2 linked regions of the Caenorhabditis elegans genome follow. The protein of the gene in region 2 purifies or fractionates together with the protein of the main gene of each other region. This does not show direct contact. Each region holds a gene or a part of one and is shown on either strand. Other genes may lie near its edges.

What was found. The genes of interacting proteins can lie anywhere in the genome.
Region 1: the proteins of F09C6.11 (region 2) and ist-1 fractionate together in Caenorhabditis elegans (co-fractionation; one large-scale study listed by BioGRID). This does not show direct contact.

What each region holds. Positions count from the first base shown.
Region 1 is NC_003284.9:7,124,775-7,129,666, reverse strand, and holds the start of ist-1 (IRS-type PTB domain-containing protein), read right to left. Parts: upstream 3,017-4,892; coding exon 2,802-3,016; intron 1-2,801.
Region 2 is NC_003283.11:16,881,474-16,884,114, forward strand, and holds F09C6.11 (Transposase), read right to left. Parts: upstream 838-2,641; coding exon 736-837; intron 692-735; coding exon 581-691; intron 534-580; coding exon 513-533; downstream 1-512. Other genes in the region: F09C6.12 (Flagellar rod assembly protein/muramidase FlgJ), read left to right, coding at 1,405-1,506, 1,553-1,669.

The DNA of each region.
Region 1 (4,892 bases), on a different chromosome or scaffold from region 2:
ATAGACACAACAAGGCCGGGAAAGAAAATAAGCGGAGAAGAGCAGATGAACGGGAGGGCACGTGCGTCTGTGTTAGATTTTGAGAGACAACCTTGTTTTTCTCGGTTTTTTCTTTCATAGTGATGTTCGAATAGATGGCTTTGTTTTAAAACGAAGAGAAACTGCTTGGTCTCATTTTACTTTTGTGAAATACCTTGTGCGGGAGAACGGTTAAACATTTGAAAATGATGAGAAAGGTTAAAAATTCAATTTTGCTTAACAGATAATTGAATTGCTACTGAAAATCAAATAAATTAGAAAAATAATATTTTAGAGAACTCTTAGTAAAACATATTACAAAAGGGTACGATTTTTGATTTTATGAAAACCGAGAAATCAAAAAAAAAGTTGAAAAATTGTGAACTGAAAAACTGAACAAATGTAGAAAACATACAAAGCGATTTTTTTTTTCAATTTTTATTTTGAGCTTTAATAGCCGATTTTGACCGTTACCGGTGCCGATATACATAATACTGAAATGAATATATGGAAAATAGTTTGAAACCGAAATGCATTTGAAATAACACCGTGCCAATATTTTTTTATTGGCTTGGTTTTGGTTCCTCGCCGATTTTTGGTTATCAAAACAAGTACAATAAACAATTTCAAAGATCAACGGCCTAGAGAGGTGTGTTAGAAAATAAACGAAAAATGATGTTCGTTAGAGCAATGTTCAAATGTAGAAAAAATTCAAAGAAATTGCTAATTTGGCAAAAACAAAAACTGATGATATCTTACAAGACGTCACACACTATATGTTATTCATCCAACCCGAATCCTCGCATATCTCCCAAGCTTTCCATGACAACTAATCCGATTTATTCCTCATTTTCAACTGTTTTTTCCCCGATGCCAACTAATCATCCCACCTCATTCCCTCCATGCGATCAGATTAGGATGGATTAACCAAAGGTGGGTGAAAGAGCAATTGTTAGCTGCGTGAATAAGCTTTGGGAAGCCAAAAAACACTTTTGCTTACTCTCACTTGAAATTTCTATATGTCCTTCGTGCTGGGTCTCACATCCATTAAGTACGGATGGTGTTCTGAGAAAAGGAAAAAAGGAAATATAGAGTGTAAACAACAAGGGGTTCAAAATTAATAATAAAAGTTATCAAAACTTTTCTTAAACTCAAAATTTTGAAAACTGAGGAGATATATTTTTTTCTCTACATCTCAGATTTCTACTTGAATAGACCTGAAAAGCGTTTTCAGCTAGTTTTGCTCGGTCACCTGAGCATTGTGCAGTCATGCGAACACAATCGAGCTAACAGAAGAGATGTTACTTTACTGTACTTTAACAATAAAAATTCGGAAATGGTGAAAACAAAGTGCACTTGTTCCGAAAAGCAAATATTATGATCATCGAGACTATTTTCAAGTAAAAAAAGAATCAAGTGGAGCTGAAATCTACAAAACTAAAGAAAAATAATAGACAATGAAGAGAACCAAAAGAATGATAGAAAATATAGAAGTTAAGTTGTTTTAGTAACAAAATTATCAGCTGTAAAATAGAAAAAAAGAACATGCCCAAACTTTTAAGGCTCTTTTCATTGGGATGAGTCAAAAAATTGATGATAAATTTAAGATAAGGATATAGTCAGTGAAAGCAAAAGAGATAAGTATATTCTTAAGCTGTGAAACTAATCTTTTGAACTGAATGTCTGAATCAGTACTTGAGATTTAAAAATCTAGAGTCTGACAAAATAGTTATGATGATTTCTTAATAGATAGAGGATTTGCAATTTGTCGGTTACAAATGGCTGTAATAACTAACCTTTAACCTACTATTACTCTAACCTAACCTGTAACATTTGGAATATCAAACAAAAAAAACGAAAATGCAAGCACGTACCATTACAAAAATATATGTTTTACTGGCACATTGGATACATTTTTAAAGGTTACACACGATTTTTTATGAAATAGTGAACAAGGTCTGAAGCTTCAACTTAAAGGTTCAAAATCAGTTAAAAATTTGCTTATGAAAAATTGTTTTAACATCTTAATAAATTTTGAAAATTAGAAAAAAAAACATTTAGTTTCTCTCAGACTTTGATTTGAATAGAGCTCTCTCAAACTTGCCTTGTATTTTTCTATTATTTCTCAAGGCTGAAAAAATTTCTAATTAGTTAACATTTTTGTATTAAAATACTATTAAAAAAATTTAAAAAAATGATATTACAAAGTTAAGAGATTATTCAAGGGCGCTCTATTGTACATGGGTTATGGGTTTGGCGGAAATGAAAACAGTGAGTACTGAAGCATTTTTAGAGTTTCAGTTCTGAAAATATGAAATAAAACGTTTTATATTATTATTTCATCATCTTAGTATCACAGGAAAAGGGTTTCCCACATTTCACCAAGCTATTCCACGTTTTAAATTCAAATTGAGTATCCGGAATATGCATTTACCTCCTGAACAATAAAAAATTATTTTAAAATTTTAAAATTATTTTTTAATTACGCGAAAACTCAACTCTAATTTAACAATTTCTCTGGCTATTTATTTTAATTCCAGGGACTGCATGAAATTTCAGTTTCATTGAACTCAGTATAATCCTGGTAAAATAAAAATATGAAAAAACGTGAAGTTTATCACTTCCTGTAAAATTTGGAGACTATGCTCTATTTGATCTCTCATTTCCCTCATTTGATCACACTATCTTCTAACCGTGGGTCATGTGCAAGTTGTTTTTCACGTTTTTTTTGTCTTTCATCATAACGAAACCATATAATGTGACTGCAATGTACACAAAATTACCTTTTCAGTATTCCATCATTTTTTAAACCATCGAAAGATTCATATGGTCGCATTGATGATCGTCTGACTTGATGAGCATCATCCGTGGATTCAGCTCGTCGCAATATTCCAGGAAGCACATTTGATGATTGTTTTTCTGATTTAACCTCTCTATCATGCGGATGTTCTATAGGGGGTTTCCCAGAATTATCTGTAGATTCTTCTTCTTCAGACATTTTCTGAAAAAAATTGATTTTATTCTTGCGTACATTGCATCACAACAACAAAACAATAAACAGCGAACAAAATATTATCACCTTTCGGAATGAAGATAAGTGTCAAAGTGATTTGAACAGGAACATGCGATGTAAAAAGAAGATGAGAAATGTTTTGGTCGACAAAAAGAAAAAAGACGGGGCGGAGATTAGGAATGTTTGCGAGGACATGTGTAGGCAGAAAGGAAGGATACGAAGGTGACGCTTGTGCATTTTTTTTCCATTGCTGCTTAATTTTAGTCTTTCTGGAAGCGCATGGGCATATCACTAAAACATTATAACTTATTGGGAAACTTGGGGACACGTGGGTGGTTGGTTGCCGTGAAATCACTGAATAGAGAGACAAATCACCGGTTTATTGACTGTTTGTGTACTGAATCAAGCAGACAGTAGCACGAGTATTTTTTGATTGATTATGATTAGATTTGTGATTTTTTTTTTGAAAAAAAGTAATTAAACAGGTGTTTGAACACTATCGGTGTCAGTAGCTAAAAAGTTGGAAATTTTGTCAACTTTATCAAGAAACTATTAATGTTAACTTATATTGCTTCTATAGACAAAACTCAAATCAACAAAATTCGTAATGAACTTCTCAGAAAATTTTTTTTAAAAGTATGTCTTTTTAAAATTTCAAAATTCAAAACTGCCTAATTTTAGCTTGAATCCCTAAGGTTACCAATTCTTTCATGTTGCAGCGTTCGAAAATTAGCTGTTATACAAAAATTAGCTTTTATACACTAAATATTACAAGCGAAACTCATGCCAATATCCCTCCTTTAAAACAAAATGAAATTAGAATGTTTCGTTGTTTGATTGACCAGTACTCTTTTTTTTCAGTTTTTGGTTTTTTCAAAACAATTAAATTATTGAAATAAATCCACGTATTCTACTTTTTATTATGTGATATGTTTTTCCATTATTGCCATGACTTTTTATAATCCTATCTCCACTATATAAGGCGTCATAAGTCATGCTCACACCTCTGAATAAATGCCAAACGCTCAAAAACTTTTGGTAAACCACGTGAAATATCTGCTTCATCATGAAAGATTTGTTAAGAACTGAATGGATTAAATTGGTCTGATTTTTTTTGCAAAAAGTACTTTTGGCACGTGCAGATTCTTATTACAAAAGTGTTTTCTTGCATTCAAATTTACAGGCAAGTATATTCTTTTTCAATGCGAAAAAACTATGCAACACTGGCATGAACTGCAACTGAACCTACTTGACGTACTGATAAAACAACTACATCAACCCTCTTATCTAATTTTAAGAGATGATAAACAATTACTTCGCCCAACGAGAAAACTCAAATTAATTGTTGAAAACTTTTCAGAATTAATTTATTTTTGGGCTTTTTGAAAAAAAAAACCAAAATGAAGTACTGTAAAAATGCTATCAAGGAAATTATTGAAACATATACCTATACCTATAGTGCTAAAACGCAACAATCATTATAAAATTTTCAAAATTCTCTGAAAAGTTTTATTTTGATATTTGGTGTAATTCGAACAGCCTTTTAATTTCTTTTGTTTTTTGCATTTCTTGTCAGGTTTTTTGTAGTTCCTATGTTGTATACTCTTTTTGAACTAAACATCTTGAAATTAAGAACGTATGCCGGAAAAAAAACTTGATTGAAATCGTGGATAATATTTGAGAAATATTGAATAATTTACAATAGTTGTCGGCATGCAAAATTGTATGTCTAAAAAAAAGTTTGTAGTTGTCTTCTTTTTTTCACACAATGTTTTTCAATTTAAGACAAACTTTCCAGTGGCATTATTTTACATACAATAAAAACATAGTAACTCTAAGAATACAAAAAACAAAAATGGTA
Region 2 (2,641 bases):
CAAATCTGGTTTAAATATATTTCAAGTATATTTGAAATATATTTGAAACAGATTATTCTGGACAAGATTCAGAAAGATCCATCGAATACTCTGATTTCTAATAATGGTATCTCTTTTTCCAAAAAATTCATCTACAGCTGAAATGAGATAAAAAGATATAATAACGACCAATAATGCTCTCAACATCTTCCGAGAACCTCTTTTCGGCTCCAGCTTGTGGACCGTCTTGCAATAAATTGTTTCCGATGTTATCATATTCAACTTTTTGATTTTATGGCTAAAATACAAAGAGAAAGTTGAGATGAAAGGTGTTTTGTATCCTTGATCAATTCTGCGTTGTTTCATTTATTGTAGATCAAGGATTGTACATAGATTGAGTATTGTCAATCATCCTATGTAAAAAATGCAAAGAATATACATAGCTTCATTATTCAAAATTATAGATATTTGCTTTAAATGGATAAGAATCATGAATATCTGTGTATTTTAAAACGTAGAGTGAGGCTCCAGAATCATTTTCCCTGGGACAGTTTCTGTAAACAGTATTTTCAGATTTTGTGTCTGAACATAAAGCTTTTACCGTTGCCAAACCAAATATACGCGACATGTGCTCGTTATGTTCTTGTGTAGTTTGAGCGATAATCGAATCAATTCGTTGCTCATCCTTTTCATTGCGGTTGTGGATGATTCTCTGAGAAATATGAATTTACGCGAATACGTACACGAGGAACCAACCTGTCTGTTGTCAACACGATTATCCCGTTCGCTTCCGCTGCGTTCAGTATAATTATCGCAATTAGTAGTGGTAGTAACCTTGGCGTCGATAGCCCAACCCATAATTGCAATTAAAACAGGAAATATAGTGTCTTGAAGAACATGTAGGTGTATTTATGCGAGATAAAGATGAGGAAGAAATAGTAAATAATGAGAATGTTTGTGGATTATTTCATCTCTGAGAAACACGTTTTGGACCAAACTTTACTTCGGAAAATAAGTAAACAAATGAACCTCTTCCTCTTGTTTTTCTGTATTAAAAATAAATAGTTATCTCTTCAACTTGAAAAAGGTTCTCTAGGAACGATATAAACAACTCACCGTGCGTAAGCAAGACCAAATGTCAAATAACATCTCGAAAACTGGCGAGACCAAATTTTGAGTGAGTCTATTGAAAATAAAATGTAGTTTGTTTTAAACGTCATTGCGCATTCAGCTTTAGGATGTGTACACAGCGGCAGACCAACCCATCATAGTTTGTTTTCATAAGACAGGCTAATTTTTCATTATTATTTGCTCATTCTTGCTCAGTTTATTTTTCTATAAATACTCAGCCCGCAACCCTTACCGTTCAGTGCCGTTCGAAATCTATATCATTCGTTTTTAATCTAATGTTTTACAGAAAAAATCATGGGTTGGGCTATTGATGCAGAAGTCGATACCACAGTGAACGTGGGAAACAAAAATATTGACAAGCAAAACCTTGATAATAACTCGCAGGACAATAGACAGGTGGGTTCTCGGAAAAAGTGATTGCTAAATGCTTTCATGCTTTCAGTTTATTCGCGGCGGATACATGTCGACGGAATTATGCAAAGCTACCGACGAGCAATTCAAAAAAGTTCTATTGATGAAGATGGCTAACTCGATGAATGGCGATGGTAAACAAAAATGAAATTCATTGTAATTAATCTCATGGAATGGGCTGCTACATGTTTTTATTTCAATTTCTTATACTTTTTTTTGTGAAAATGCATAACTTGTAAATGAAAATCATCACTTATAAAATTGTGGCAAGGTTTGCTTGAGCGGGTTACATTTTTGAAACCTCGCGCAGGCCCAGAAGTTGTACCTATATAGTTACTTTGGACGGTGTCACGGTTATAGCATTCCAAAGAGATTGGCTAGACTACTTACATTGGAAGTTGAATTCACAAGAACTACAGTTAATTCGACAAACCGTATTAAAAAAATTTGTCACGCATGGCAAACTCGACAAATCGCTATTTTCTCTTGTTTATTTGAAATTAAAATAATTAGTTTTATACGAAATGTTAAAATAACATTTTCCGGCAAATTTCAAAAAGAATCCTGAATTTTTATATTATCAAACGGCAATTTGGAAACGAGCGAGAAATGATTTTTCTAACATAACACACCGGTTTGATGGAACACCTGTTCAAAAAAAGGAAAAAAAACAAGCTAGTCTTGCTCCTTTTTTGCTGGATCAAACAAATTCTCTGCAAATGTTGTTTGAAATGAATGTCTTTTTTTCCGGACCGGAATGCGGATTGGGGAATCCGGTCTTTTTTAGATAGGTTGACCCACTCGACCCATCTAACATGTCTAACTAGGGAACCGTCAGAAGGTGCCCATTGGAGTTGCACAAGAGTTCTATGCCATTCGATAGCCCATGTCTTGAAACGGTTACTCGTGAATTTTTAGCGGCAAAACTCCAGAATTTTTCCGACTGCCAATTTTCCGATTTCACTTCGGTAGCGCATATCTCCGCGGATAATTTTTTTTACAGAAAAGTCATCAACTAAAAAGTTGTTAACCTTTTTGTAAAGAACAAGTTCTTAGATAAAAAATTTTTTACAAAAAATTTTTTGTTTGAGAGAAAAGCGCGTGATGTGCGGCAACTGTT